Linked DNA regions of Arabidopsis thaliana. The protein of the gene in region 3 interacts with the protein of the main gene of each other region in a pairwise test. Each region holds a gene or a part of one and is shown on either strand. Other genes may lie near its edges.

The links.
Region 1: the proteins of DREB19 (region 3) and ZFP3 interact in a two-hybrid assay, tested with the Arabidopsis thaliana proteins (one large-scale study listed by BioGRID).
Region 2: the proteins of DREB19 (region 3) and bZIP52 interact in a two-hybrid assay, tested with the Arabidopsis thaliana proteins (one large-scale study listed by BioGRID).

What each region holds. Positions count from the first base shown.
Region 1 is NC_003076.8:8,683,478-8,691,347, reverse strand, and holds ZFP3 (zinc finger protein 3), read right to left. Parts: upstream 4,161-7,870; 5' UTR 3,825-4,160; coding exon 3,117-3,824; 3' UTR 2,933-3,116; downstream 1-2,932. UniProt on the Arabidopsis thaliana protein: Acts as a negative regulator of abscisic acid (ABA) signaling during germination and early seedling development. Involved in the regulation of vegetative development and fertility. Modulates red light signaling in seedling photomorphogenesis.
Region 2 is NC_003070.9:2,101,469-2,109,681, forward strand, and holds bZIP52 (basic leucine-zipper 52), read left to right. Parts: upstream 1-3,579; 5' UTR 3,580-3,764; coding exon 3,765-4,225; intron 4,226-4,305; coding exon 4,306-4,438; coding exon of another isoform or gene 4,439-4,540; intron 4,541-4,549; coding exon 4,550-4,634; intron 4,635-4,715; coding exon 4,716-5,050; 3' UTR 5,051-5,281; downstream 5,282-8,213. Other genes in the region: AT1G06840 (Leucine-rich repeat protein kinase family protein), read right to left, coding at 193-267, 385-456, 610-681, 798-941, 1,016-1,087, 1,185-1,256, 1,340-1,490, 1,629-1,740; Plsp2A (Peptidase S24/S26A/S26B/S26C family protein), read left to right, coding at 7,364-8,050.
Region 3 is NC_003071.7:16,064,660-16,070,329, reverse strand, and holds DREB19 (Integrase-type DNA-binding superfamily protein), read left to right. Parts: upstream 1-1,714; 5' UTR 1,715-1,938; coding exon of another isoform or gene 1,939-1,989; intron 1,990-2,038; 5' UTR 2,039-2,148; coding exon 2,149-2,883; 3' UTR 2,884-2,934; downstream 2,935-5,670. Other genes in the region: PRA1.B4 (prenylated RAB acceptor 1.B4), read left to right, coding at 1-490; AT2G38350 (uncharacterized protein), read right to left, coding at 1,022-1,261, 1,939-1,989; AT2G38330 (MATE efflux family protein), read right to left, coding at 3,012-3,072, 3,161-3,282, 3,369-3,464, 3,546-3,662, 3,751-3,822, 3,963-4,126, 4,205-4,305, 4,404-4,500 and 5 more. UniProt on the Arabidopsis thaliana protein: Transcriptional activator that binds specifically to the DNA sequence 5'-[AG]CCGAC-3'. Binding to the C-repeat/DRE element mediates abscisic acid-inducible transcription. Involved in the regulation of plant development and tolerance to abiotic stresses.

The DNA of each region.
Region 1 (7,870 bases), on a different chromosome or scaffold from region 3:
AAAATAATTTTATTTGGTTATGAATATGATTGGTAATAGTCAGAGACTCATAAATGAAAGCAGGTCAAAGTGACGACGGCGTTATGGGCCGATCACTTTTATTATACATGCAACTTCCTTAGTCTTTTCGATAACGTTGTTCGGTGGACGGTGGACCTCATGGAAATGAAACTCATTTATGAATAACCAAATGAATTGGTAATCAGGATCCAAATGAATTGGAAAGATCCCGATATATATTGATATTAATTAGTAGAAATTGTGGTTCCTCTAAAGTAAGGCAGAGCACTTATCTTCCAAACAAGAAAGGGACAAGTAAATAACGTATGATTTGTTGGATAAGTTTGAGGAGAGTAATTTGAGGCGTAAGTTACTAAAGAAGAGAAAAGGAAATTGAACTTTATTATTTTTGGAGATATCTAGAATATATTATTGGAGTTATCTTATGATATTAAGAATTATCTAATCATTAGGGTAAGGTTAAAGCTTTGTTATATAAGGAGGTATCAATGTTGTGATACAACTTATGAGATTTGAGAGAGATTGAGACTTTAGGTTTTGAGAGAGTTTCTAAAGATAATAAAAGAGAGTTATTATTTTATACTTGTGTTCTTAATCTTTCTTGAATACTAAATGATTAACTATATTTTCTTCCAAATAGAGTCTCCAAAAACTCTCTTAGTCCATAATTTTTCCACCTTGCACAATGAAAGGGATCCATATATTGATATAGAGTAGGTCTTGGTCATCACACTTTTCTAGAGTACCAATTTTTTTTCTTCTTCAAACCTCTTTTCCTTTGATTATCCTGCTGAAAAGAACTTCAATGTTCACCAGAGTACCAATTTTTTTTTATAATATAATTTAACATTACATTAAAAAAAAATGTTTACCGGAGAAGTCTATCTTCAGTATCTCGCTCCTTTTCTAAGATCACATATAACATATTGAGTTGTGGACGACCTAATTCAAAACCGACATTCTCTTCGTTATTTCTTTGTTGTTTCTTCGACTATGTACATTGTTTTCATTATGATTCGAGCATTAGAGATTTTTGAAAAGATAATTTTATTTCTTTTTTAGCATATATATATGTAATTAATCGTGGTGTGGACATTGTGGGTGTTTAGCTGTTTACTTCCCAAAATCGGATGTTTTTGTCAAAGCTATTATTGAACCAACGAACATATAATGTCCTCCTCGACGACAGGCATCTTCGTACACACACAACTATACAAAGGACTAAAATTAACCGGCAACATATATAAATATTAGATGCAAAATATTATTAACTGATACCTTTTTTAACAATGAAATGAAATATACGAGTTCAATTAAATTCAAGTGGTGGTGATACAACAACAACACTAACATAAACAATTATTTACGCGTTTAAAGTTAGTCAAAACATGTAACATAACATCTTAATTTATAATGAGCAAAAAACTCTCTCCATTCAATATAATAAATCATCCGAAAAAATAATATCTTACTTTGATATGTAAATGAAGGGTCTATAACGGTCATATCCCACTAACAAAGAACGATTGAGCTGCGTTACGTGATTTTACCGGCAACTCCAAAAATCTGCAAATTCATACCTCCGAAAAATTAGAAATTTAGTAATTTAAGAATCCATTGGACCATCCTTCACTGGACCTTCAAAACTGTCGGAGAATGTCGTTTTCGGCTTAGTCATTTTCAGCTATGGGGCTTGTGGCCCAAGATTAGAGACGCTTTGCTCTATATATGTAACCAATAATAAAATCCTATTTCATATTTGGTGAGGCTTAACTTATATATATATAAGTCATGTCTTCAGGCAAGTGTAAGTAGGACATGTTTTGGGGCCAAACTGATGAAGATAAATTGAAGGGCTCATCAGGTTGGTTACATTATATATGCATGGTCTGCATGGTACCATGTGTGCTTGTCTAACTTTGTTTTTCTTTGATTTATTTATGGAACTGTGTCACTTTTGGTTCACTATCTGACACTTTTTCTTCTTGATGGATACAAACAAATATTTCTTTCCTCGAATAAATCATGGTTACTGATGAAAAAAAAAGAAAGATATGACAATCACAGACCCTTGTTTAATTCAAATATGTAAGATATGTTTAAGTTTAAACCGGTTTAGGGTTAATTCTAGAGCTAAACAAGCTCAATATCGTGGTTAAGCAGCTTGTTAAGGGAGAGTGTGTGTGTTCTCATTTTTGGGAGTACTTTATTAAAACAATTACCTTCTCTGTTTCAAGAGCCAAGATTGAGCTCGATAGATGATGATGATTTTTTTTTTTATTCAATTCTCTTGTAACTCTCAAAGATCATAGTGAGTGTTCATTTATAGTTTGCTTCGGTTTCTACTTACGATCTTGGCTTGTTCTTGATCTGATTGGTTTGTCGATTAGCTAGTCGAGAGAAGTTCTTGGTTATTTGGTGAATACTGTTTCGACCATTTGTCGAAAACACGCGTGAAGTGATGATAGCAACATCTATGACAAGTTTTGTCTTTTAATGTTTTCTTACATATGGAGCAATGTGATGCCCTTCTAATAATCTCTAACAAAGAGAACCCCATTGGATGCTTTATTAGTTTATTTAACGTTACATGTATTTTGGTATATACTACCAAAGAATTGTATTTGATATTGTGTTTAATTTTTCTTCTAGTACTCTTTTGCTTTTAGTGTCACAATCATCCTACACAGCAACTGTCTTCATAGTTTATTTCTATCTGTTTTGTTCTGTTTAAATGTCTTATTAGCAACTTTTAAACAAATAGAATGATTGTTCTAACTTTTAGGTAACCTAACTTTGAATTATAATATTAATTCCTTTTTCTTGTGACTCTGAAATCAAATCTTCCCACAGATCTCAATATTCACTTTTCTTCTCTTTTTTCCTTTACTCTATACTTTATACGGTTGTTGGATGTCTACTTGAAATCCATTAATGTATAGTTAATAGTTTACAAATCTCAGACTAAAGTAGATATGTGAAAAAGATGTACATTAGATTATCTTTACTAGAAAAAAATATACACAAAATAGTACTAACAATCACATGAAAAAACAGTAAAAAGACACTAAATTCAAGAATCAAGAAAAAGAATCTCAAAGCTTGAGGGACAAGTCAAGTTTCTGCTGCTCTTCATGATGACTTGTACTTAACAACAATCCTTTGTCTCCGTGCCATTGTTCAAGAGTCGGTGACCCTTCTAGAACCCGTCCTGTGTTGCTTGGGCTATCGATGTTATTGGACCGTGAATTTACTGAAGGAGCCATCATCATCATCTGATGATGATGATGATGAAAATTATCCATTGAGGGAAATTTACCTATGGCTGGTTGTTGATCAAATGGAAGTCTTGACCAGTTGATCTGACCATAGTGACCACCAAACCCGTTATAAGAACTTAGCTTGTGGCTTATCGAATGCGCTTGGATCCCTAAAGACCTATGGTTGTTGTACTGTCCGTGGAAAGGAAGTGGAGAGAAACCGTAAGGATGTCCAAAAGCTGAGGCTGACGCTGCCATACGTTGTCCTCTCTTCGCCAACGTTCTCTCTCTCTTGTGTGCGTTTTGGTGACCACCAAGTGCTTGTGAGCTATAGAAAGTTCTTTGACAATAGTTGCATGAGAAAAGCTTTTGTTCTGTGGATGTTGTAGATTCGTTAACGATACTCGTTGTGTCGTCTATGCAGTCGATGAGATTGAGTTCGTGACTAGAATTATGAACGTCTCTTTCTTCGTCTTCGATGCTCTGGTTTAGAGAATCTTGATATGGAAAAGCAGTGGATGAGGAAACTATTGAAGCGTCCATGAGAGCTAAAAAGGGATAGATTTTTTCAGGAGATGATTTTTTTCTTTCTCTTTCTCTGTCTCTTTCTATCAATAATAGCTATGAGAAGAGGTTTATATCAGTGAATGGGAGCAGAAGTAGATGGTATTAGAAAGGAATAGACAAAGGAAACAAAGACCCTACACTAGAACATTTTCTTAGGGTTTTGTAATAAGTGGACCAAAGTACTATGATGAGAGCGATAGGTAGGTTTGGTTTGCTGTCACACCCTTCTCACAAAACACTTTAAAGCTAGTTGATTGGAACTCCACCATCTAAATACCTCTATCTATATATATGACTCTTACCCTTTTTGGCTGCTTCCTCCTTCAATAGTCCAACAAATACATTAAGTGTGTAGAATTTAAATTTCGCTTTGATTCCGGTTCAGATTTATTTGGGTTTCTAGATTTTCAGTTTATGAATGACCAAATATCTAAGTAAACCAAATGAGTACTATACCATTGGTAATCCACAATCCATAATAATTTTTTTTTTGTAGTGCATGTTAAGGAATCCTTTAATATTTTAAGTATGAACATTTTCTAAAAGAAGTTAAGGGATCGAAAAGACAATGGAAAACGAAGCAGTTTCTCAAAATAGTAAGTACATCATGATGAAATGACAGAAGAGAAAGATGACAATAAAAATTGAAAAGGAAGAGTACTGTTCATGGACCATCCAAATTTGTTCAGGTCTGTTTATGTCTACTTTTGTATAACTCCACGAGGTAAGTGACCATTTCTGTCTCCTTTGGCTTCTCGTGTGGTCCTCTCCTTCATCTATTCTTTCTTTTGTCTTCTATTGAGTCAAACCAAAGCTCAAACTAATCACAAAGTAAAAGAACTGGTTATTCGAACTTTGTAATAATAGTTAAGTAAGTATTTCGGGTAAGAATATAGATCGATGATCTTGACAAAGCACCTGGTTAGAACAACTTGGAAACCACTCGTACGTTCATTATTATATTTATCGATTTTACTTTGTATCTTAGTGAGAAATTGTAGACCATGTATATGACTTAAAGAATATTTCGTCTTTATGATGGATCAACCTTTCTCTTGTTGTGTAATCTTAAAGGAAATGATATTTGAAACTTCCACACGCTCTTCTACTTTATCATCTAAAGAGTTTAGTGGATTTGTCAATATGAATTTTGGTTTCCCACTTAATTTCACATCATGACATACAACTAGGTTGCATGACAAAAGTCACTTTCTTCAACCAATTAATACTTTTCTTTTGGAAGCCACATCGGCAAGATCAAACCCACTTAAGCTTTTGATAACAATCTAAACCACATTTCCAAAGTTTTAGTTTAAATTTATTTAGCTAAATTTGAATTACTTTAGCTTGTAATGAAAGAGAAAAGATCTAATGGTTTAAAGTTATGTATATTTGTCGTATGCCAATTGTGACCTAGTTGATGGGTCCAACGTTACATATGGCCGACACAAAAATGGGAAAAAGCTAATTAAGAGTTTTCAGTTTCTAATTAATGGCTAATTATTTTCATAAGAAAACTAATTTTCCTTTAATAAATGTATATGTGAAGTTCTTTCTGAGTTATATGACATCTCCATTTAAGTATACCTTCGTTCTTTGTTTCATCAATCCTCAATACTCAATAGATTGATCATAAAATGTTAGATTAGTGAGTAATGTGAAATCGTGAATTGGGAAATTAAAGTGTATTATGGACTATGGTAGCTTAATGAGTATAACAATTTACCACGTTGTATTTATATGATATAGGTCACATAGTCATCAATCATAGTCAAAAGATACAGATGAGAACATTGGATCTTACTTTAAACAGATGGTGACATGTAGCTATTCATAATTTTCCCTGTATGTAGAGAGATTTGATTCGTCTTTCAAATCTCTTTGTTTGACAAAGCTTTTGTGTATTTTTTAATCTGTCAATGCTATCGGTAAGTAATTAAGTATCATATAGTAAAAGTATTAACCACTAACCGGGTTCATCTAAGTGTTTTTGGGCCTTATTATAATCTAATAGTTAACATGATTAGCTAAATTTATTCAATTCAATAAAAGTTTTCAAAGTGAACGAAAGTTACAAATCTGCAGTGATTATTTTCTAAAAGTGGAATAATTTTATTGGTAAAAAATTACTAAAAACTAATTAACCCAAAATTGACATATTATCAATTGCAGACATAACATTCATCCACTATGGGTTTACTTACCACGTGGAGTTATGCACACTAGTAACCTCTTTGGAATTTTATCCAAAAAAAAAAAAACTCATTGGAATTATTTGATGGCAGATTTATTTCGATGAGAAATGATTGATTGTTTTTAACTGTGGTGTAGCAGTGAATCTGTCATTTGAATTGATATATAGTTTACTTGTTGTTGGTTTCCCACATAAGGTTGTGTATTACATCATTACTAGATCATAACCCGTGCTGTATAGCACGGACATTAATATTGTGTATAAACTAAATTGTATACTTTATTTGAATTACATAAGAAATAGTATAATATAAAAGTGTTGTCATAATATTTTTCAATGTTTTTACTATTTGGATATAATGCTGCATTGGATTGAATTTGTTTAAAAATATTATTTTTATAATAAATACAACATATATAATTTTAAGTAAATGTGTAAAATTTGTATACAAGTTGTTCTAGTAAGAAACATGTTTCCTTTGTATTAAAAGATCTAATTTTTGGCCTAACTTAAAATTAGTTTTTGTATAATGTTTTGGTTATATTTGTGAACCTAATTGGGCCCTATATTAGATTATCTTTGATAGGGCTCACGAAAAAACAGACCCGATAACCAATCCATTATCCGAACCAAAAAACCGGGTTAGAGCGGGTTAGAATTTTAGGAAATTTCCTTATTAGGTAGAGTTTTAGTAAACCCGTGGATATCCGATTGGTCCAGAAATTACCCTTTATCCAAAGAGGGTATTCAAAAACCCAAACATTAATTTAATATCCAAAATATTAATTATATTTAATCGTAATATAATCTAATTATCTAAAATTATAATTATAAATCTAAATATGTCAATTAATTTTGGACCTAAATATCCAAAACAACTAAACTATTCAAAAATTATGTGTTATGTTTGTCAAAATTTAGTAAAATATATTCAAATATAATTAAATTTATTAAAACTTAACAAATCTAAAAGTTTTTTTTGTTTGGAGACCCACTATCTACATACAAAATACCCGTTTCAATTTTTTTGGGTATTTTTAGGGCCTGAAACTTTTTATCCAAACTGACGCAAACCCAAATGGACCCGACCCGAACCAGAACCAAATATTTAGAATTATTCTATTGGGTAGTAAATCATATACCCATTAATCCCAAACCCGAACGGGTTCTACCCGAACGGGTTCTACCCGAACTTGAATAGGTTACTCATATGCCCAGCCCCATTCTCTGATTTAATTATCTAAAAACTCCCAAAAAAACATATGTTTTGCTGTCTACGTTTTATTCGAAAAGTTTTACATCCTCTTCTGCCAAAATCATTTCATGGGACATCCTAAAACCCTTGGAAGAATGATTCCATGAATGAAGAAATCCTAATTTGAATATACCAAGAGGTCTTGAAAGGTTTTAAGTTTTTGATAGGTGTGTATGTGAGAAGGTACAAACATCGTGATGGTAATTTGCTTATTTATAATTTTAACTTGCAGTATACCGCATGTAAGCTTATATTTTAGTTAAACTAAAAACTTTTATTGTAAAGATGATTATAAATATACGATATTATTTTATTTGATTTTAAATGTATAATAAACTACGAGTTGTATATGTTTTGTTGATATTATTTATATTGTTTAGTGTTTAAAATTATACACTTGTATTTTGATTGTTAATTTTAGAGTTTCACCTGTAGTATACCATCTTGTATTAATATCGATCTAAACCCGTCAATTCTAGGATTTTCCAGCTTGTATTAAAAATTGAATCACATCATACACATAAAAAAATCTAATATGTTATTAATTATTGTAGTATATAAGATTATAAATTT
Region 2 (8,213 bases), on a different chromosome or scaffold from region 3:
ACAACCAGTATCTCTACATTTAGAATGCACTATCCTAATTAGCTCAAATATGGCTGATTACTATTCCCACAGGTTAATTCAAATCCAATGCATGACTTTCGTATTGAATTGTTGAATGCATTAATAGAAGATGACAGCCCTTCCAGCCTCACACATCAGTGATTTCAGATACATAATGAAACTATCACTTACATCTTCAAAAGTTTAGACATGTTTCCATAAGATTGTGGAATCGTAGTCCCGTCAAAGTGATTGTTATCTAATTGTCTGCCAAAATAAACATGAGGAAAAAGGTCAAAAAAAAGAAAAGAAGAAACACATGGGTAACCAGTCCTTATGGTGACAGGACCAGGGAAATCAACAGAAACTGTGACATAAACTTACAGGATAAGTAAACGCGGCATGTTTGATAACTCAGGGGGAAGATAGCCTGATAAATTGTTGTTATCAAGAAGGCTGTAAGAAAAAAGAAAAAAAAAAGTAAATGTTCATAAACATTGAATAGGTAAAGCGTGTGTAGCATGTTCTAGACATGAAAACTGAGTTTAGGTAAAAAACATAGCATTTTTCAAGTAAAATCATTTAAGCCTGCTACTGCTACCAACTCACATGTGAACAATGGATGGTAGGCTTCCAAGCTCTGGTGGTATCTGCCCGCTAATAGAATTATTGTTCATGTGACTGGAAAAAGATAAGATTGACCAAAAAAAAGCAATAAATGTAACATATTCAAGGGGAGAAGGAATCACCATATTGAAACAGCCAAGTACAACTCGACACCAGATTAAAGAACTCACAAGTGCTTCGTTTTGTTTAAGTTTGCAAAAGATTTGGGAAGTGGTCCTGATATACGGTTTTCATCAATCTGTATTCTGTCCAAGTTTGGAAGAAACCCTAGCTCCTCTGGTAAGTTTCCATTTAACAGATTTCCATTCAGGAGCCTGGAAAAGTGAAGTTAGCAGCCAATCCCAAAGCAAATAAAGCAGGGAAGTAAACAACAAAGTCCTGGACTAACAAGAGTTCTAAGGACTTGATATTCCCAATTTCCTTTGGTATACTTCCGGTGATCTTATTCCACATGAAACTCCTGGCATTAGAGAAGAAGTTGTACAATACAAAAAGAAAGTTATTCACCATTGAGTATGACAAAAGATCAAGCAACATATCGTGTTAAAAACACGTACAGGATAGTAAGACGAGACAACCGGCCAAGCTCCGGAGACAAGTTCCCTGAGAGATTCATACTGAACAATTGCCTACAAGTATAAACAAAGCTAACTCAAACAAATCTCAAGGAAGACCAAATAAAAGAAAAAAGCAAGAGTGAAGAAGACAATACAATTCGCTGACATGAAGATAACCATCATCAAGAGTGGAGTTGAAGCAGACAACACCAGTCCAATTCGAATTGCACGGGTCTCCATGCTTCCAATTTCTCAATCTATGAACAGGATCGTTCAAACTTTCTTTGATCACTCGCAAAGCCCTCACTAAAACCAAAAAAAACATCAATGATCAGTACCAAATCAGTCGAAAGCTAAGAAAACCCATTGTCACAGACACAAATTGTCTGAAGATCTAACACCAAAGACAAAGCCTTTTAACAACAACAACAACAAAAAAGAAACCTTCAACGGGATTGGTGATGTCGTCTTGAGCAAAAGTAGAAGAAAAGCAACAGAAGAGGAAGAAGAAGAGCAGAGGTATGAGGAGACGAGAGACATGATGGGTCGAAAACATATCGAGAGAGGAGGAAACAGAGGAGACCCAAGGAAAAAACGAAATCTCGAGAGAGAGAGAGTTTAGAAGGAAAAGGCCATGACCAAGTAAGAAACACAAGACAAAGAAAGAGGAAAGTAGTTGGTATTGGGTGGGAGCATTGAAGAGTGATAATACGACATTTTCTAAGTTTGACTATTTCAGGTAATGGATGAGACCGACGGAAGAGCGTCATCATAAGTTTCCGTTGCGCCGCCGCCATAACTTCACCACCTTCTTCCGTCAAAACCATTCTACTTGCTATTTTTCTTCCTTTGTTTAATGATTCCTTGTCTGACCTGTCTTTGACCTTTTTGTCGTTTTTTTAATCCTTTTTTAATGACAGTAGGTAAATCTCTTGCCAGGTGCGATGAATTTCCAAATATTGTCAATAAAGTTACCTTTTTATCCCACCTTGATTTTTTTTTTATGTATTAATTAAAATTTAAAAACGTATACCATTAGCAAATAGTAGCAATCATTGGTATATTGGAATCATATAGTATATGGCAATTTGGTCATCGATATCGTATCTTTATGTGCATTTTGGCCCCCACGATACTAAAAGTCACGAAATTTTCCAAAGTATCGACTTTTATTGGAAAATGGTGCTGATTATCAACTGATTTGTAGAAGTGTGATTAATTACCTGTAGTCATTATGATTTTCTTGAACAAAAAAAGAAGAAACAGAAGATGTATGTCACTATGTCGTATCATTACGAGAGGGAAAAAAAAGAAACAGCTGGAATAAATTACTCAAATAAGAAAAGAAATACAATGGGCACTATTAAAAAGCATAGACATGAGCTATATATTATTTATGTTTAGAGAAGAACTTTCCAACAGAATTTGGTTTTAAAAAATACCCGTTAGGTGACAATAAATGGGAGAAACTATATCTTAAGTATGTTCATTATTTATATATAAAAAAAGGGAGAATCACAATTCACAAGTATGTTGATAAATAATAATAAAACAAAAAAAAAAAAGACAAAAGAAACTTTAGCTGGTAAAAGTAAGCATCATTAGGTTTTTAATTTGAATCACTATTAAATGATGCCGGTCCACTACTTGCGTTTAAGACAATTTAGAGAGACTTAACTAAAAAACTTATTACTTAAAGCGATCAATACGACCATCTTTTTAATTATTTTGACCGGTAAACAAAGTGATGCCCAATTGCCAATTTAAGAGAAGGCCCAAAACATCCTCCTGTCCACTACAGGCGCATTATATGCTCGAGGATTTCTTAAAACAAAACAATACTTGTCTTCTTGTATGGGCCTGATAATTAAGGCCTCCGTATGATTTAGATCCAACCAATAAGTATTTTTCACTATAAGTGAATTTTACTTGTTTCCCAATCCATAGATAGTTCCATACCAAGTTACCAACTTATTATCCCACAAAACATTCTCTCAGACTCTCAGTTCATACAAGGCTTTCTGCCTATTTTTTACTTGTTAAAATTTTGACTCAAAGATACAAAAATATACACTCAGACGTGGGGAGATGTAATGCCATAACAGCTTAAATTAATAAATTTCGTTGAAGCAACTACAGAATCTTGTAATGAATGCTACAAAGAAGATTTAAAGTTAAACAAATTTAAATCATGAAATCGAATAATTAAATAAAATACAAAGAAAAAGGAAAAAAAAATAAAAAAAAAAGGGAGGGAGACAAGATGCTGCGATGGTTCACGTGCCAATGTGCCTTTTACTTTTCATCAACTAGTTTTCTTTTTAATTATTAATAAATCAACTCAATTTCGCAATTTTATAGTTAGTGACGTCACTTCTCTCTCCTCACAGAGTCGAGTTTCTCTCCTACGCTCTTCATTTCATTTCATTTGATAGAGAGAGAGAGAGAGAGAGAGAGAGAGAAAGAGCTTCGTCTTCTTCATCTCCATCATTATCTCCATTGACATTGTTCTCAATTGCGAATAATAATCATAATTATTCACACAACCAAAGCATTCATCTCTCAGATTCTCTTAAAAAAATGGAGAAATCAGATCCTCCACCAGTCCCAAAGCCCGGCGCCACTATTATCCCCTCCTCCGATCCAATTCCTAATGCCGATCCGATTCCATCTTCTTCCTTCCACCGCCGATCTCGCTCCGACGATATGTCCATGTTCATGTTCATGGATCCCCTCTCCTCCGCCGCACCACCTTCCTCCGACGACCTTCCCTCCGACGACGATCTCTTCTCTTCTTTCATCGATGTCGATAGCCTCACCTCTAATCCCAATCCCTTTCAAAATCCTTCCCTCTCCTCCAACTCCGTTTCCGGCGCTGCTAATCCTCCTCCTCCTCCTTCCTCTCGTCCTCGCCACCGTCACAGCAATTCCGTTGACGCTGGATGCGCCATGTATGCCGGTGATATCATGGACGCTAAGAAAGCTATGCCTCCTGAAAAACTCTCTGAGCTTTGGAACATCGATCCCAAACGCGCCAAAAGGTCCTTCTTCTTCTTCTTCAAATTTGTTTCTCTTTCCACAGAATTGAAGAATTGCAATGAAATTAGGGATTTGATTACAGGATTCTAGCGAATCGACAATCTGCAGCTCGATCCAAAGAGAGAAAAGCTCGATACATTCAAGAACTTGAGCGCAAAGTTCAATCTCTTCAAACCGAAGCTACCACTCTCTCTGCTCAGCTTACTCTCTACCAGGTTTCCATATTCGGCGATTCCTCGTTTGATCCCAACAGAATAGGAAAGTTCTTTCCTCTGTTTTACATACATAGACAGATCTTGATTTCAATGTTGTTTTGATTGATCCAGAGAGACACAAATGGACTAGCAAACGAAAACACAGAGCTGAAACTTAGGTTGCAAGCAATGGAACAACAAGCTCAGCTTCGTAATGGTAAGCACAAAAAAAAAAGAAGCTAATTTCTTTGTATGCATTTTGGTGCATTTCTTCAATATTTGCTTTTTGATGTTACAGCTTTAAACGAAGCGTTGAGGAAAGAAGTTGAAAGGATGAAGATGGAGACAGGAGAAATCTCTGGTAATTCAGATTCGTTTGATATGGGAATGCAGCAGATTCAGTATTCTTCCTCAACTTTCATGGCTATTCCACCATATCATGGCTCAATGAACCTCCATGATATGCAGATGCATTCTAGTTTCAATCCTATGGAGATGTCCAATTCTCAAAGCGTGTCGGACTTTCTACAGAACGGCCGAATGCAAGGGCTGGAGATTAGTAGCAATAGCTCAAGCTTAGTCAAATCTGAAGGACCTTCTCTCTCTGCTAGTGAGAGTAGCTCTGCCTATTGACGACAAGATTATGATGAGGCTCATTTTTCTGTTAATAGGTTTTTTTTTTTTTCAATTCATTTGATTCACTTTTGATTATTTATTCTTTCTTTTTTTTGAGGTGCCATTGTGCAAGAAAGGACGTACGTATACATTTGTGTTGGTTATGTGTCGTGAGTTTCGTTGTTTGCTATTCCCATTGTTTGTTCTTCAAGGAACAAAGGAGACTAATAAATTTCATTTTTCTTTTGTATACAATGATGTTTGCTACGTTTTGTTTTATTTTACTAGGAGATGGAGATGTTTAATAAGTTCATTCCAATTGGGTTAATAGTTTGATTTTGGGATCAATGATTTTGATACGACAACACCAAGGCAGTTCCTCAGTAGCTTCTTCTCCAAGACACCCTCACATCCGTCATCCCATTAGAGTTTTGAGACAACTTCTCCCAACCGGACTTCTCCATGAGACAAAATTTCCCAAACTTGGAGTCGGAGTTGAAATGAGAGACGAAGCATTGAGAGATTAGTTTTTGAGACTCTGTAAGACTGTTAACGAAAATATTCGACCTTTGAAAGACATCTAACACGATTCAACCTTTAAGCAAAGACCCATTGTTGGAGAGAACCAACAAAAGTTCCAACCTTTCCAAACTGAGCTAGCAAGAACAATAGAACATGCATAACAATAAGAACGTGGAGAGTTTAGAACATTGTTACCATGTTATCAGACGAAACATCTACTCTCTGGACTGTGGACGTCCTTGGAGAAGCTCGGTCTATTTCGCAAAATAACTTCCAAAAAAAAAAGGAGAGAGCTCAGAATGGGGCAATATCAACTGATATTCAGTAGAATGCATTGGACCCAACCAATGCTAAAGCCAATTTCTTCACAGCTCATGCACCAGCCGGGAATCGAACCCGGGTCTGTACCGTGGCAGGGTACTATTCTACCACTAGACCACTGGTGCTTTGATGACAATTGTTTTGTTTTAATATCTGATATACAATAAAACCACATTTAAACCAATAGGCCCTATTTGATGGCGATACGTAATTTTATTTTTTGGGCTTTTTCATCTTTTGCCAGTGGGAATTTGTGAATTGTGAGTGTTTGTTTCTAACTTTCTATGAAATCGAAATTTGAGAAAATTGTGAGAAATTCAAGAGAATACATGTAAACTAGGGTTCAACAAGTAAATTGCCCCCACAAAACTATGCCAAAAAATGAAAAAACAAAACAAAACATGCCGATAGACAAATTCTAATCCGTATGAAGCCTCGATGTATCTTGAGCACAATATAAATATTTGATTAAATAGAAGCATTTGGGAAGACAACGAGAGATTAGTGTTTGGCTAAAAGAAAAAAAAACGAAACAGAATCCATTTTGTTAATTAGGTTGTGGTCAAACTCAACCCAACTAAGTTAACGACTAATTATTTAAAGATAATACTGATTAATTAAGAAATATCAACGAAGCTTCGGGCGAACCTTAAGAGAGAGATGACGTATGTGCTGCGGTCATTCACTTTCTTTATAGTTTTCCACATACACACTCCTGCGCCCGGTCCCAGAGCCTTTACCTTGTTACGTCTCTAGTTCATAACTACATGTCTACCATGTATTATAGGGATATCAAAATGGTCTATACATGATTCATTATTTCATATATCTAGGTTATATATTATTTTCTTATAGTTGATTTATAAACACCAAAATATCTTTAGCAAATGTTAATATGTGACAACTGACAAGAAACATAGGTTGTGCTAATGTCTTTACTTTAAAATTCAAATCGGCTTAAAAAATTATGTTCTTACGAGCAAAAGATTGAAAAAAAAACGATGAAATTTATCGTGTGCTTTTATTAATTGTACATCTAAAAATGTATTAAACAATTTTGCTCAGTACAACAAAATTCACAATTGTAATTTTGTGAAATACCCACTCCACCATCTTTTTATCAGATAATTCTAATTTATTTTTGTCAATGTTATAGCCATTTTTGATACTTGCGTATTTAATTATGGGATATTATGAATAGAAATTGTATATTTAAAGGCCCATTTTTGGCCCTAAATGTAATTGATGACTCAACTCAACCAACAACAAGAAGAAGAAGACTCTCTCTGCTTTCGACCAAAACCTTCTCCTCTCCTCTGGGAGATCTCCATCTTCTTCGCTTCTTCGCTTCCCCGCCTGAAACAATTACTCGATCTCGCCGGCGGAACAAGCTCTCCGTTTCTCTTTCCGGCAGATCGATTCTTCCAATTCCTTATTCCTTTCTAGGTCTTCCTTAAGAAACCCTTACTTTCTTCAAAATCTGCATTTATGGCGATTAGGGTTACCTTCACCTACTCCAGCTATGTTGCTAGGAGCATTGCTTCATCCGCCGGGACTCGTGTCGGTACCGGCGACGTTAGATCATGCTTCGAAACATGGGTTCGTCCCAGGTTCTGCGGCCACAATCAGATACCAGATATTGTTGATAAATCTCCCGGATCCAACACATGGGGTCCAAGCTCAGGCCCTCGTGCTCGACCAGCTTCATCAATGTATAGCACCATTGCGAGGGAAATCCTCGAAGAAGGCTGCAAGAGTCCACTTGTCTTGGGTATGATCTCTCTCATGAATTTGACTGGAGCTCCACAGTTTTCGGGTATGACCGGTCTCGGGATCTCTCCCTTTAAGACTTCTTCTGTCATCCCGTTCCTTAGGGGTTCCAAGTGGATGCCTTGTAGTATTCCGGCGACGTTATCAACGGATATTGCTGAGGTTGATAGAGGAGGAAAGGTCTGTGATCCTAAAGTGAAGTTGGAGTTGAGTGATAAAGTCTCGAATGGTGGAAACGGATGGGTTAATAAGCTGTTGAATATCTGCTCGGAGGATGCTAAGGCTGCTTTCACGGCGGTTACTGTTTCTCTCCTTTTCCGATCGGCTTTGGCCGAGCCAAAGTCTATACCTTCAACATCTATGCTTCCTACTCTCGATGTGGGTGATCGTGTTATAGCCGAGAAGGTGAGATTACTGGTTTGTTCTGTTCTTAATTGTGACCGTAGAATGATGTTTGATCTTGAGAGGTTTTTAAAATGACGGCTTTAACCAATTCTGCATTGTTGGAACTAAAATTTGTTATTGGAAATGGTCTTAAATGTGTTTCTTCTTACATAAGAAATGCACA
Region 3 (5,670 bases):
TGAGCTCGCGGATCGTTCCGCATTATCCAAACCTGAGTCGATCTCCGACGCTGCTGTTCGTATCCGCAAGAATTACTCGTATTTCAAGGTTAATTACCTCACCGTCGCTACAGCGATCGTCGGATTCTCTCTCGTCACTCATCCTTTCTCTCTCGTCTTCCTCCTCTGTCTCCTCGCGTCGTGGCTCTTCCTCTACTTGTTCCGTCCCACGGATCAGCCGATCGTTCTATTCGGTCGTACATTCTCCGATCGTGAGACGTTAGGGTGTTTGATTTTGTTCAGTATCTTTGTGATCTTCCTCACCGATGTTGGATCTGTTCTGGTTTCGGCTATGATGATTGGTGTTGCGTTGATCTGTGCTCATGGTGCTTTTAGAGCTCCGGAAGATCTTTTCCTTGATGAGCAAGAGCCTGCTGCTACCGGATTCCTCTCTTTCCTCGGTGGTGCCGCCTCTTCAGCCGCGCCTGCTGTTATCGCCGCTCGCGTGTAAATGCGATTCCGATCTACCATTCCCTCGCCTGGGTAAATCTTTCTATATGATTCATTTGTTGAATTTGATACTTAGATTTTGTTTTTTTAATCTGAAAACAATAAACGTGAAAATGTTGTGGATCTGGCCTAATTTTGGTTCTTGTTCATGGGCAATAGCTATAGATGAAATATATATCTTTGCATGATTTTGATTTGATGAAGTTTTACTACCGTTTTGTGTTAATCTTTAGCCTTTTTTAATTTACAAGTGTTGTTTTGGAAGATATGGATTTATTTCATGATCAAATTCAAAATGCAATGGATCTGTTTATTAGAACTTGTAGCCATCTTTTGATTTGTTATGTGACTACATTGCACTGCGTGTATACAATCAAAAGAGTCAAATTTGGATGCATGTGCATGCAAGATCCATCCAAATTTCACCAGTTTTCAAAAGCACCCATCATAAGACAGACCTGGATCAGAGTCGTAGGATTTAACGAAAGGAAATTACTTCCTATTGAGGATGAGCAGCAGAACAATATCCACATTACGCATTTACGCTACTTGACTTGACTTGAAATCGTGGGTCGGAGCAAATGCGATGCACAAATAATTCGATGAGCAGCTTTAGTATTGGGCTTCGTACTCGAGTCCGGCCCAGTATAAGCTCATTTACTTCTTTTCGAGTCCAGTTCGGCAAAGGCCCAATGTCTATGAAATATCGAATTGGTGGCGTATACCCTAAGCCAACAAGGAAGCTTCGTTTTAAAAATGATTTGTTACTTACCTAAAATTAATAGTATTGGGTGACAATCCACCTTACATTCTTATCTTTTTAAGGGTTTTAGCTTACGGTATAAGTCACCAATTTGACATCTTCCATCAACGAAAATTAGTAAATTACAAAAAAGTACAAAGTCTTAGTCGCAAATATCTCTATAACCAAAAGCAAAGCAATATCCTAAGTTGTATTGACCTCGGAAACTAGAATCTCCTTGAACTTGGGATTTGTCAATGCCAGTGACTTAGAAATTGTTCTTTGCGAAGGCAAAAGCTACAGTTTGTTAGTTGGCGCGCAATTTGAGCTGGGAAGAGTCCAATGAGAGTACCAAAAGTCTCGGACTAAACGTCTTCAAAAAAGTAACCATGGAATAATAATTTATTTTTATAGTATAGTTTGAAACAAAGAAAAAAAGAAACACGTTTGTCAGAAAAGTAATAAGTGGAAGATGTCAAATTGCTGGCTTGCACCGTAAGCCAAAAAAACACTGAAAAAGTAAAATTTCAATTTAAGGTGGATTGGTGCCCAAGACTTACAATATCTATTTCTTCACGATATTTACGATAATTTTCAAAGTCTTAGCCGCAAAGAAATCTATAATGACCAAAACATATTGAAAAACAAATCCTAGCATACCAGAATCTGCCTAAACTGGGAAGTCACCACGTGTCTTGTAGCCGTACATTTAATTGTCGTAAGCACCACGCGTGTTCTCTTAGACGGTATCTAGACATGTGTTCCCACCTTAATTTCTGAAGGCTCTGGTGAATTCTAGGACAATCTATGCAGACAAAAATTTATAGTTTATTGTTTGGTTTTATGTTCGAAATTTAATAGTGATTGTACTGCGCTCCGTAATATTTTCTACAGTTTGTACGTGTTGTGTTTTTCCAATGGAAAAGGAAGATAACGGATCGAAACAGAGCTCCTCTGCTTCTGTTGTATCCTCGAGAAGACGAAGAAGAGTGGTTGAGCCAGTGGAAGCGACGTTACAGAGATGGGAGGAAGAAGGATTGGCGAGAGCTCGTAGGGTTCAAGCCAAAGGTTCGAAGAAAGGTTGTATGAGAGGAAAAGGTGGACCAGAGAATCCTGTTTGTCGGTTTAGAGGTGTTCGACAAAGGGTTTGGGGGAAATGGGTTGCTGAGATACGTGAACCAGTGAGTCACCGTGGTGCAAACTCTAGTCGTAGTAAACGGCTTTGGCTTGGCACGTTTGCTACTGCAGCTGAAGCTGCTTTGGCTTACGACAGAGCTGCTAGTGTCATGTACGGACCCTATGCCAGGTTAAATTTCCCGGAAGATTTGGGTGGGGGAAGGAAGAAGGACGAGGAGGCGGAAAGTTCGGGAGGCTATTGGTTGGAAACTAACAAAGCCGGTAATGGCGTGATTGAAACGGAAGGTGGAAAAGACTATGTAGTCTACAATGAAGACGCTATTGAGCTTGGCCATGACAAGACTCAGAATCCTATGACTGATAATGAAATAGTGAACCCAGCAGTGAAATCAGAGGAAGGTTACAGCTATGATCGATTCAAATTGGATAACGGATTGTTGTATAATGAACCTCAAAGCTCCAGTTATCACCAGGGAGGTGGATTCGATTCATATTTTGAGTATTTCAGATTCTAGCTTAGGATTTATGCTGCATCAATATACTATGACTATGAGACTATGTTTTTTACATTGTTAGTTTACTCCATTTTCATTTATCTTAACTTAAGAGTCACGCATCATACCGCAAAAAACAGTGATCCGCTTCATTCTGGCTTCTCTGGAGCAGACCATAGCATTTTCCATGGACCGGTTCTTGTCCCCAATCTGAAACATGACGCAGTATCCTTTTAAGAAAAATTTCGGATGGGTTGAAAACTTGAAACTAGAACGGTCTTTTTAATTAATTGTTTACCTCCAGGCTCCAGCAACCAACCGCAACGCCATGAAGAGGAACAAACCAGTCCAGATCCCGGCAAGGCCAAACGTTGGTGCAGCCACAAGCATGAACAAGGAAGATATGAATCCGACAATCACCTGTTCCAAAATGAGAAATAATCAACTTTTTCCAGGTGAAGAAAAGGGAGAATCAAACGACCAATTGATGAAGAAGGAAAAGGGACCATAGAATAAGCGGCAAATCCGAAGTCAGAGACACCATAATAGAGCCCATCCAAAACAAACGCTAGAGCATTCACCGGTTGAGATCCAGCCACAAACTGCATCCAGCCAACATTATTTAGATATTGTCTGAGACTACCCTTTTCAAACTCTTTCTGGATTAAAAGATAAGATCTTACTAAGGTCCCTGACAAAGCAATCTTTAAAACTTCTGAATCCGTTGTGAATAAGCTTGAAAATGGTTCGAAAGTGATGAACAATACAGCAGCCAAACCAGTTCCAGTTGCTAAACCTACCTACTTAAAAGATTGCAATTGTACATTATAACATCGAATATATAGGGTAGGATATAAACTAGGGATGTAATGAATTATGAATACGAACTTGAAGGACTCCGAAGAGAACTTCCCGGGCTTGTTTGTATTCTCCTTGAGAGTAAGTGGTGGCAAGAAGACTCTGAAAATAGAGGTAGAAAATATAAGTGAAAATCTTCTCCCCAAAAGGTAATCTTGGATCATGCTAATGGGATTCTTATATCACAGTAAATCTTGGTAGAGATTGTCTGTTTCGAAGATGATTTGCAAAAGATATTAGACCTGTGCAGCAATGGCTAAAGCATCGGTGAGTAAAGAGACAGCCAACCAGATTTCCAAGACGATTTGATGGCCAGCCATTTGAGTGGGTCCATTTTGAGCTGCTAACGAAGTAGCTAATGTGAATGGCACAAGCAAAGCCACCGTTCTACCAATGAGAAGCCCACCTAAGCATGAATCAATACATTTCATATAGTAGCCTTTCTGAATCGTTTAAAGAAAACTTGAAAATTTTAAGGAATTACCTGATTTGAGGTACTGGTTGGCTCTTCCCACTTTGATTTGAGGAGAGAGCAAAACTACATTCTCATTCAACTTCCATAGAAGAATAAATGCAATCAAGTATCTGAAGAAACGTTGACAAGTGAGAAACATAAGAAGCCACAAATTAAGATAGATATGCTTTACTAGAAAACGAGTCTATTACCACATTTTTGGACATACTCAGAAATCACAGTAGCAGCCGCAGCACCAGAGATACCAAAACCAAGGACAAATATCAGGATTGGATCCAATACCGCATTAAGTACATTCCCCGCAACTGTTGATATAGAGTTCACCATATTAGAAACATGTATGTGAAACTGCTAATGCATATATACGGTCTAGTGAGCTAATGCGCATATACTATTTATTTCCTCAGATCCATTCATGCATAAATACAAAAAAAATAGATGATTGTGCAATACTTGCCAACGGCATATAGAGGCGTTGTTGTGTCCTTGAAACCTCGAAAAGCTCCTTGCGCAGCCAATGCAACAACAATTGGTGGTGCACCATACGCTCGAAGTCTGAGGAACTGCTCTGCTGGTATCCGCATTGGTGAATCCTAAAAAAATTACAAACCGAGAAAGAAGAGCGATCAGCTATACAAAACTTCAAAGATAACAGCTTATATAAAAGAAGTTCAACGTGAGCTTAGAGACATTACAAAAGGTATAGCCATGACATCCATCAAGAAATCAGACCCGAGAGATAGCGCAATGGCCTCTGCAATACCAACTCCAGCAGCAAGAACTAATGAAGTTGAAACCGAAGGCAGCACTTTCTTGCCTTTAACACCAACAAATAAACAACAGATTCAAAGTAAAGAAACAATCTTTGAAGAAAACAATAAAAACATTTTTCATTATAAGCTTTAAGGAAAGTAAAATACTTGTTTCTATAGAATCATTATCATCCTTAGCAGCAATTGCTTGCTCCTCCGCAACAAACGATGTTGTGACATTTAGTAAAGGAACATTGAAGAGCTTCGACACCAAATTGAATACAGAAACTGACACTCCTACTGCAGCTAATTCCGCAGAACCTGTCACATTACACATATGAATGTTAAAAATGTGAACTTTCGAAAAATGTGAAATTGTTGAAACCAAGCAAAAAGTAAGTATTTACCAATATGGCCAACGAAGGCAGTGTCGACAAGAGATGTTATAGGATCAGCAGCTAAAGCTAATGCAGCAGGTAATGCAATTGACATTATCTCCATTCCAATTTTACCAATCCTAAACCCAAAAAAATCAAATACATTAGAAACCATTCAAAGTTGAATACAGAAGAAGCATTATTAGGCTAAGGTACGAACCCAGGATCCGGTTTGTGATCATGATCCGGTTTATTCTGTGAAGTCAGAGGATTCTGCTGCTTTTCCGGTCGCTGAGAAGAAGTGGAGACGGCTGGAGATTCATCGCGAGGAGATGATTTACAGACG